Ovis aries: one gene and its partner. The protein of the gene in region 2 purifies or fractionates together with the protein of the main gene of each other region. This does not show direct contact. Links are inferred from orthologs where the notes say so. Each region holds a gene or a part of one and is shown on either strand. Other genes may lie near its edges.

Region 1 (5,272 bases), on a different chromosome or scaffold from region 2:
TCTGCTACGTGGGAAGACCCTGATTCTTGATCAGTGATGCTTTCAAGGAAAGATGTTGATCAAAAGGGGAAAATGTGGAATTCATTAAGGAATAGTCAGCTAGCCTTTGGAGTTAAGGCAGGCCGGTAGGAGGCGCTCTCATACCCTCCTCGCGTGTCAATTTCCCTGACTGGAAGAGACTTCTACCTGCTTTCTGGCAGGAAGAAGAAAACTTCCCTCTGCCCCTGCCCCCAGCAGCCCAGCTAATTTGGAAGGTTCTGTGCTTCGCCCCTCCAGTGGACTCTGGCTCTCAGAGCCCCACCCAGATTTTTTCCCTAGAAAACGAGCTCCCGGGGCTTGTGCTCCGGATTTGCCTGTGGTGGGCCCCTCTCTGTGCGTTCTGAACTCTGGTCCCTCCACGGTGTTGGTCATAGCTAATCTGGCGCTTGAAGTGGTCTGTCTTTGTGGCTAGTGGTGTTGAGGGTCTTTTCATTTGTTCTTCAGCTGTTCGTGTGCCTTCTTTGGTGAAATGTGTTGCCCACGTAAAAAATTAAGATATTATTAAATTACAGATCTTTTTATTCAGCTGGTAAAGAATCTGCCTGCAATGCGGGAGACCTGGATTCGATCCCTGGGTGGGAAGATCCCCTGGAGAAGGGAAAGGCTACCCACTCCAGTATTCTGGCCTAGAGAATTCCATACACAGTCCATGGGGTCGCAAAGAGGCGGACACGACTGAGCGGCTTTCACTTAATTTCTCGTTTCCTGGTGAAAAAAACTGGCTGTCATCCTATTACAGCTGACAGAGGCTTCGTTAGTTAGCCTTTAGCTGCGAAGACTCTGAAAGCCCTGATGTATTTACTCAGGCTGACGTGTGTGCGTGCGTGCGTGCGTGTGCGTGTGTGGCGAGGCTGGTGAAGATGTCTGTAGAGGGTCCAGACGGCGTGCCCCCCGCAACAGTGGATTTCTTGTGCCGCCTCAGGTGCATGGGTTTTTAACGCTAATGTTTCTTTAAAAAAATCATTTAAAAAGAGTGTGAAATTTGGCTTAATGTGAAAGTCTTCTAACTAGTGAAACCTAATTTAATTTCTATTTTTGCAAGGACTAAAAGGGGCTAAGTATATGGAGCGGTTTGAAAGGCAACTTGAGTCGGTGTGGGAGCCAGGGACGCCGGAGGCTCTGCCCGCACCGGGCCTTTGTACACTGCGGCGGCCTCTTTCCTTGCCGAGTTCAGAACCGCCACCTCCCCTCCCCAGCGCGGGTGCCTGGGCCGCCGCTGTGGGCTGCAGCCGCGCCCCTCTGCGGAGAGCAGCCCACGGACAGGCGCTGGGAGCCTGCAGACGTCCTGGCACAGCGGGCTCACTAGCTGGAGGCCGGCCCGCGGGAGCCCAGTGACCGCCACGGCCGCGCTGCTCGCGGGAGCGCGCTCCCCCACCCCGCGGGAGCCCCCGACCGCCAGCGCCGGGCGCAGGGCCGCCGGCAACCCGGGAGCTCCGCGCACAGAGCCGCCGGCCCCACCCCGCCTCAGGTTCAAGGAGGGACCCCGCCCAGCCGGGCTTCCCGTTGATTGGCTGGAGGGGAGAAGGGCGGGCGGGGATTGGGTGGGCCGGTGGCCGCGCCTTCTTCCTCGGCCGCCGAGCGGCGAGCGGAGGCGCTGGGCGCGGGCGCCGGCCCGCCGCGCCCCTCGACGTCACTACCCGGCGTGCCGCGCGCCGCGCCTCCCCGCCGCCCCTGATGTTTTGGCCGAGCCAAGATGGCGGTGCAGGAGTCCGCCGCTCAGCTCTCCATGACCCTGAAGGTGCAGGAGTACCCGACCCTCAAGGTGGGGTCTGTGGCCGCGGTGCGCCCGCGCCTGCCAGGGGCGGCGGGCGGGGCGGCGAGCGGGCGCGGCGGTGGGGGGCGGGCCCGAGGCCGGGGCGCGGCCTGGGGCGCCGGGCGGGGGCCGAGGGCCTGCGGCCGGGCTCCCCGGGGCCTGGGGCCTGGGTGCCTGCGCTCTGCGGCCGGGCTCCCCGGGGTCTGCGGCCGGGCTCCCCGGGGTCTGCGGCCGGGCTCCCCGGGGCCTGCGGCCGGGCTCCCCGGGGCCTGGGGCCTGGGTGCCTGCGCTCTGCGGCCGGGCTCCCCGGGGCCTGGGGCCTGGGTGCCTGCGCTCTGCGGCCGGGGACCTGCGGGCCGGGCGGGCGCGGCGTGTGGCCGTCTCTGCCGCCGCGACTGGGCAGGGAGCGCGTCTCCCTGGCGCCCCACTTCGCCCTCTGGAGCCCTTCGTCCTCGAAAGAACGCGAGCCGCAGCAGGGACCGTTCTGGCCGTGGCCAGGCTGGTTGCTTTGGAGGCGGGGATCTCGGGGCTGTGGGGTCGGGGGCACCCAGCGAGAGAAAGACCGGTAGCCGGCGGTTGCGTCCAGCTTTCGTCCCGGAAGCTTCTGTCAGACGGTGCTGACGGATGGCTTCCAGCCTCTCATTAGGGACCTGTGCAGAGAGGCCTCACCACCGCGGGGCGTCACCAAACCTGAAATACAGCTCTTGCCGCTTGGCCGACAGTTGCGTGACCTTGGATGGCCGCTTAGCCAAGTCGACGTAGACTGCAGTGGAACCGCCTTTCCTGGGAGAGGGGCCCCCAAGTAGTTCTTACCTAGTTAGTAGAGGATTCAACGCTGACTGGCTGCAGTGAAACAGCTGGGAGTAAATTCCTTCAAGGATCAAGGTTGTAACGTTCCCAGGAGAGCTGCAGCTGAGCCTGTGGAAGTCTGAGTTCTTTCCCTGGGAGTCAAGTAGCGTCTCTGCTCCTGGAGGGCCCAGCTTCCCTGTCCACCAAAATGGTGACAGGTGGTGGGTGCATTGTGGCAAGATTGCCATGAGCTCTGGTCGATTCTCAGGAGACCTCTGGAGGGTCCTGAACCCTTGGAGATTGTTTGCTCTGCTCAGGGTGCAGTGCGGGCTCTGGCTTGGGAGGTAGCTGCCACACTCCTTACTCCTTGAGCCCTGAGGGGAAGGGAGGGAGGGAGGGAAGCCCTGTGCCGCTGACGTGAACCAGAGGCCTGTTTGCTGGACCCCCTTGTAGGGCGTGGTGTTTTTATACGCAACTCAGGCAAGACCCTGCATCTCAGAGGCCAGGGTTCTCTGCTGCCCCATGCACCCAACTAAGTGCCCCCACCAGCACCAAAAAAAGTATGAGTAGGGAGCTGTTAGCTGCTGACCCATTATCTCACTCAGACCCCATCAGGCCCGCCGTTCCACTGACAGACAAGGAGGCTGAGACGTGAGAAGTGGGAAACACCAGACTGGAAGGATGTCTCCTCCAGGTCCTCCTCTCTCAGTTCATAACCATGAACGCAGTTTGAGTTCCAAACCTGTTAAATAGACTTTGACTGAAGTAGTCACGCAGCCTTCCCAGGTGGCTCAGTGGAAAAGAATTCACCTACCAGTGCAGGCGGCCGGAGACGTGGGGTCGACCCCTGGGTCAGGAGGATCCCCTGGAGGAGGAAATGGCAACCCAGCTCCAGTGTTCTTGCCTGGAGAATCCCACGGACAGAGGAGTCGTTGGGGTCGCAGAGTCGGACACAGCCGAGCGCACAGGCGCAAAGGAGGCGTGCCGCCATTCTTAGGGGCAGAGAGATGTTCTAATGTCGTCTCAAGTGAGCCTGCCAGCTGAAAATGTTTCGCTGCTTTATTGGAGTGATTTTGGAAAGTAGAATTTTCACGAGGTGCTCTGTCCGTTTTTCCCGTACAGATTGTTTACATCCCGCAGGATAATCCCTCTCGTCTTGACACAGGTGTCGCTGCTGGTGAACCTTTCTCGGGACTAGTTCCCAGTGGGCGATGAGGAAGTTTCACTGGGAACGAGGGCTGCTCGGTTGGGAAGCAAAATTAGAGCACAGGAAAGCGATTGTCTCGGGAGCTCTGCTGGTCTCATCTGAGCGGGGTGCAGAGGTGCGGAGGGGGCCGAGGCCGGTGCTGGAAGGCCGAGCTCCAGCGCGAAGGCAGGTCCTCCCGCAGGCAGTGGGGACCAGTATGCCGCGGGCAAGCCTCCTTCAGAGAGGAGGCGGGTGGGGGGCGGCGGGGCGCGGCCGGGTTGAGGCTGCTGGCGCCTTCTGACCTGCCCTCCTCCCTGACCCCAGGCCTGGGGACCCTGGGGCGCGTGTCTGCAGTGGGGCTGCAGGAGGCCAAGCAGCAGCCCTGGCCTCCGCCCCGCCGGCTGACAGCCGCTGGCCTGGCCGCCCTGGCTGTGGGGGAGGCGTCCTCCCCGCAGTGGGCGCCGGGGGCGCGCCTGGGCCCTGGCCTGGCCGGCGAAGCTCCCTGGAGTGCTGTCCGTGTGGGCTCTGGCTCACGCCCCCCGGGCCTCAGGGAAGGAGGAGTGGAAACCTGTGAGCTGGAAACCCTGTTTTGTCTTTGGAAGTGTTTTCTGATTATGAAAGCAATTTGTGTTCATTCTCCAAGTTATTTTGCTGACTGCCCCATTCGGTTTTGGGGTTTTTACTTCTGTTTTTTCCTTTCAGATAACTGAAGGGAAATCGTATTTTATAGAGGCGCGTCTGTCACCCCGCGAATCAGCAGGGTCCGCTCAGCCAGGATTGGGGACGTGGTGTTGGTGATGGGAGACCGGCCCTGCACCTCACTCCTCCCGTGGGTCCCCCTGGGCCCACCCCCCGGGCACCCGGAACCTCGTCTGGGCGCCTCGGCCAGGGGTCGCCCGTGTCAGCACCCGCTCCCAGCACCCATTGCCCGGCACGTCGCCCCCACTCTATCTGGGGACAGTTCGGCTGTGTTTTAATTCTCCATAGAAGTATGTAAGTTTTCTACTTTTAGCTTGGCGACGGTTTTGTTGACCAAGTACTTATCTGCAATTTCGAATCCTGGCTTTGTACTTTGCGTTCCAAGTATATGCCTAAAGTTACAACTTGCAGTCCAGTTTTCCAAACTCGGTCTCAGCTGGACTTGGGGATCCGCGTGGTCTGAGGTTTGAGACGCGCCGGTGGCGCGAAGCACGGGGCCTTGGAGACGAGGGCATGGTGGCCGCGGGCTGGGTCCTCACCTCCTTTTTCTTTGCATGCGTGCCAAGTCGCTTCAGTCGTGTCCAGCTCTGTGCGATCCTGTGGACTGTGGCCTTCCAGGCTCCTGTGTCCGAGGGGCGCTCCAGAGAAGGGTACTGGGTGGGTCACTGTTCCCTCCTCCAGGAGGTCTTCCTGACCCCAGGGATCGTCTGTTAGATCTCCGGCATGAGCAGGCGGGTTCTTTACCACTCGCGCCAGCCGGGAGCTTTTTTCTTTAGGTTCTGTGATCAGAGAGTGACCGCCTCTCC
Region 2 (5,303 bases):
AAGGTGATCCTTGGAGAAACAGGAGAAACACATGTAGAGGCTCTGTTTGGGTAGTTTGGCCTTGAAAGAACTGAGGAAAAGGGAAACAGATTGAGAAGGGTTAAATGAAGGTTCCACCTACATGATCAGGTCAGGTAGCAGCTTAGGAAGGGAGAAGGGACTCTTCTTCCTTCTGGCACTTGACAACAGTTCACCAAATGGATGGTATCAATAGACATATTTTGAGGAGAGGATTCTCAGGGAAGCAGGACTCAGGGTCACCTGCCAAGAAAGAAGGGAAAATGGGCAAGGGAGGGAAGAGAAAGGAGGTATGTAACAGCCACATTTGGGGCTGCCCTTGAGAATCACCAAGAAATAAAGGATTGGGTGCAAGATCAACATGATTCCCTGACTAAACTGCCATCTCAGATTTATTCCTGGGAACTGACATCAATAGTAACAACCACCACCACCATTCATCATGTGGTTATCATGTGCTGCTTTCGGGGTGTTTTCATAAGTTACCTCACTTAACTTTCCTAACAATGGAGTTCAGTATTATTAATCCTAATTACTTCCGAATTATAAAAAAAGGAAATTGAGGCTCAATGAGATTTTACCTAAATTTAAAAAGTATACCATGTATAGCATACTATGTCTCCAGGCAGTGTTTCCTGCACAGAAAACACAGGCAAGGGGGCTGCCTTATTGGAAATCTATAGAAAAGCAAACGAATAAAACTAGGAAAAGGTCTTTTTTGTTTCATTACCCATTCTTTACTTGAGAACCAATGGGATATAAATTATTCCCCATCAGCACTAAAAATAAAAGCATGCTGTGAGAGTGTTTTCCCTTCTACAACTGGAACAATTCCGGGAATCGGTTAGTTGCTTGTCTGAGTTAATAGTTTCCAACTCTTAAAGAGTTTAATTTTCAGATTAAAGAAATCATTGTCACCTAATCTGCGGAATAACATTTTAAGTTGTTAAAATGATAATATACTAAATAAAAGTGAAAAAGAATAAGCCATTGAATACGAATAAAGGCTCACCTATGTAAAAAAAAATTGAATCAGATCATTTCAGATTTTAATAATGGTGTGCAAAGAATAAAACTGATGATACAATTGGTATAATAAATGACATAGCAATGGAGGAGGGAGTGCGGTCTTGGGAGGACCCTCAGTGGGACAAGGGAGCTCATTTTAGGACGAGAAGGTAGAGAGTTTTCCAGGTCAAAGAAAATGCAAGTACAGAGGCCCCGAGGCAAGCAGCAGCGTGGCTCCTCCTCAGCTGCAACTCAAGGCGCAAGTAGGTTTAGGCCAAGGTTGGAGGCACCATCGTCAAGTCAGGGAAGGATTTACGCAAAAGGGTAATTCCAACCTACTGAATGGAATAAGGCGCCGCAGAGGCGGGGGCCAGACTGCCCCAATCTCCGACTAGAGTTTCCTGTCCGCGAAGCTGCCCGTCTTACACGCGGGGTGAAGCAACCGGTCAGGAGAGGCTCCAGGCCCAGGGGCCAAAGGGCCAAGGCCTGCGGGGGTGGTGTGTGTGTGTGTGTGTGTGTGTATGTGTGTGTGTGTGAGGCGTGTGACCTCCTAGTGTCGCCAGAGTCGAGGGAGCACCGTAGGCTACGCCCGGCCACCCCCTTCTGCAGCCCCACAACCACCCCCGCCTTTCATGCTTGTTAGAGACCCTAGCCCGTAGCACCTCCCACCCCGTCCGGCCCAGCTGGATTTCCGCCCCCCCCCTCCCCGGGCGGCGAATCCGTTTTCCAAAACTTCGGAACGACCGTACCCCCTTGAGTGATAGGGAGAGGAAATAATACAAGGCTAGGGCGAAGTCCTACAGGAAATAGACCTCTTTATTTCTGCCTTGTTTTTCCTTATGGTTTCCCCAAAACGCCTAGCTTCCCGAGATGCTCTTCAAGTCACCCCCTCCAACAACGAGTCTATTGGTTTGGCCCTTAGTCCCGGATTGGCTTAAGGGTTACGCCTCGGCCTGGGATTGGAGAACGTTGGGTCCTTACGTGTTCCCGGCGCCCATTGGCTCGTTTTCCCCGTTTCTGGGCGGAGTCGCTAGGGCCGGTTTCCACCCACTTGTTTACGGAGCGCGTAGTTGTAGCGCTCTCGGAGCTCTGGGGCTGTCTCTAAAGTTCCCAATTTAGCTCTTTGGACCAATTGGGCGCTGGCTCCCCCCTCTCCCGCTCCCTCGCACGCCTCCCGCGTGGTACGGCCCACACCTTTAGAGCGGCGGCGCGAGCGGCTGTGTTCCTCCGCCCGCGCTCGCCTGGTTGACCCCCCTCGACGGTGCGCTTGGTACGACCCGCGCCGCCTCCTTCTCTAGCTGGGGTGGTTGCCCCCCTCGGGTCGGCGGCGCTTGGTGCCGCCCGGGAGAACCAGGTCATCGGTCGGTTCCCTTGAAAACAAAAACAATCGGCGGCGCCGCGGCGGGCAGCCGAACGCGGCGAGCGGGGAAGCCGGGGCGCGGGGCCGAGTCTGACCAACTAGCGAGAGCAGCGGCTACGCGCCGGGGCCGGGGCGCCATGGGGCAGGCGGGCGCGGGCTTCGCGAGGCTCCCCTGGCGTCGGGGCTAGCGCCTCCGCCGCCTCGGCCTCTCGCGCCGCCCGCCTGGGGGACGAGGAGCAGGACGCGGCCTCGGCCGGGCCCGGGCCGAACGGCTGCGGACACTCGGGAGCCGAGGAGCAAAACACCGCCACCGCCGCCTCCGGGATGGATCAGTGCGTGACGGTGGAGCGCGAGCTGGAGAAGGTGCTGCACAAGTTCTCGGGCTATGGGCAACTGTGCGAGCGCGGCCTGGAGGAGCTCATCGACTACACGGGTGGCCTCAAGCACGAGATCCTGCAGAGCCACGGTAAGGCGGCCCGGATGGTCGCGTGGGACCGGGCCCACCCACCCCGACCCCTCGGGCCCAGGCGGGCCAGGAGGGTGCCTCCGAGAGGCCAAACCCGGCCTTCCCCGGGGCGCTGAGATCCCCAGGCCCCTGTGACTTTTCCTTCTCTTCTCCCCCCGATCTGTCTTGAACCTACCCCGACCTTGTTGTTAATTAAAAGAGAGCGGGAATCCATCCGGAAGCCAATTCTGGAGCCACGGGTTCCATCCAGGGTTAAACCCGGGCGCGGGGCCGGCTCGTCGCACCTGCAGATTTCCTCCCTCGCGGGGTGGGCGTCCCTAGTTAATTGCCTTGGGCCGGAGGATCCGGGCGAAGAGAGGGTCAGTGCAGAGAGCCCCACCCCTCCTCCTCCTCCTCGCCCCAAACATTTAGCCAGGGACTGACTTTGCTCGTCTTTCTTCATTTTTTTTTTAAAATTAGAAACTCGCATGTTATTCTTAGCTGTGGGTTAACAAAACAGCCGCTGCTTCACCTCCATAATTTGACTCTCTGTAGAAGAAGCCTTTCTTTCAACTCCGCAGCGGCACTAATGTGATTCCTAAGAAACTAGCTAAATCAAACTTAAGCTCTCCCAGATGCATTCTGCGATGAGACGGGAGGCAGCCTCCCCAGAAACACCTTGTGGAGCAAGTTGTTAGTTACATGCGTTACCTGGTCAAGTTTTTACTTGTTTTCCTTTCAGAAAGCAGGTTTTCAATGGAAGGTGTTTCTTCTCTATTATTATAGCCCTAGGCCCTGGGGGAAGATACTTGGCTGCAGTTAACTTGTGGAAGCTGGGTGGGATTCTTTGGGTTTGGGTTCTTTAAATAACATGAAAAGTCTGGTATTCTTTAGGTTAAAATGTCTGTAGTGATGATTCTTTCTGAGCAAGAAGTAATGGACTTCATGGAATGGATTTGTTGAGTTTGGGGCCCTGCTCAACTCAGAGGTTGAACAGAAATCTTTGATAAGGAAGGTTTGGTAGCTGGGGTCACATGTGGACACTGGAGCAAGTGTGGTTGAGGACAGTGGCACTGGCTGAACTTCTCTCCACCTCTGTTCCTTCCTGTACACTTTCCTTTCCCAGGCTGTTTTCAGTTGAGAGTTAGTGCTCATCCATGGTGCCTGTGTGCGTGGCTCAGTCCTGTCTGACTGCGTCTCCATGGACTGTAGCCCACCAGACTCCTTTGTCCATGCAGTTTTCCAGGCAAGAGTAATGGAGTTGGTTACCATTTCCTCCTCTAGGGAATCTTTCCGACCTAGGGATCGAACTCACGTCTCCTGCACTGGAAGGTGGATTCTTTACCACTGAACCACCTAGGAAGCCCCATCCATGGTGAAAGAGTCTTATAACAGCATCTCATCCTGGACATGGCAGTCACTTGTGAACTCCGAGAAAGAAGGAAACCCAGTGACCACAGTGGGGTTAGGACTTGAAGTATGAATATGGAAAAATGACCAGACCTAGACGGCTGCCTGCAAGGGGGAAGTAGATGTGGGGTAGGATGGGTCTCCTGGGAATGCTCTGGTGAACTTGGTTTGGGACAAGTGAGAAACTGACGGACTAATGAAGATAGTCAAGGGCATCATGCTTCCTAGTCAAGGGCATCATGTTTCCTATTGGCTGAAGATGCATAGATGGAGTGTGGGAGCAAAGAAAGGTTTAAGATGGTGTCCTGGTGTCCTTCTACAAAGGAGAGTGAAGATCATTACATTACACAGAGGAAAGACAGTAGGGTCTAACCACAGCCTTGAACTCCCCTTGAAGAGTGGAGGTCCTGGAGGTGCCAACAGAAACAGAACGGGCAGGCTTAGAGAGGTTGGTCAGCTGGTGTTTGGCTATTGGGAGTCATAGCCTCTTTGCAAGCAGTTTCATAGAATTGTTAAACTAGATCACTAGGAGTTAAGAAAAATAATAGATTGAGGTGAGAGAGGCTGCTTAAGTAAGGGAGCTGAAGGTGTGCCCCTTCCGCCCCTCATCTGGAGAGGCAATCTTTTTGTATCGTTAAAGACTGAAAAGGGACTTCCCAGGTGGTGCTAGTGGCTTCTGCCTGCCAATGCAGAAGACAGAAGAGCTGCAAGTTAGATCCCCGAGCCAGGAAGATCCCCTGGAGGAGGCTATGGCAACCCACTCCAGTATTCTTGACTGGAGAATCCAAGGAGCTTGGTGGGCTACAGTCCGTAGGGTCCCAAGGGTTGGGCCTGCTTCACATGCAAAGACTGAAAAAGGTAGGAGTAGGTGAAGGGTGTAGACTTGGAGAGGTGGAAGGAAGGATTTCATTTTTAAGGAACAGGTTGAATATTGAGGGCTTGTAGAGTTTGAGAGAGAGAGAAGACAGAAACTATTTAAAAATCCCTTTATTCCATGAGAGAGAAGATAGAAGCTATTTAAAAATCCCTTTCTTCCATGAGAGAGAGAGAGAATATTAATTG

The links.
Region 1: the proteins of RMND5A (region 2) and MAEA purify together in Homo sapiens (affinity purification with mass spectrometry; 5 studies listed by BioGRID and IntAct, counting the BioPlex papers as one, with this or other methods). This does not show direct contact. The link is inferred for Ovis aries from reciprocal best matches to the Homo sapiens genes RMND5A and MAEA.

Annotation. Positions count from the first base shown.
Region 1 is NC_056059.1:117,810,429-117,815,700, reverse strand, and holds the start of MAEA (E3 ubiquitin-protein transferase MAEA), read left to right. Parts: upstream 1-1,712; 5' UTR 1,713-1,732; coding exon 1,733-1,801; intron 1,802-5,272.
Region 2 is NC_056056.1:58,558,616-58,563,918, forward strand, and holds the start of RMND5A (E3 ubiquitin-protein transferase RMND5A), read left to right. Parts: upstream 1-2,216; 5' UTR 2,217-2,710; coding exon 2,711-2,852; intron 2,853-5,303.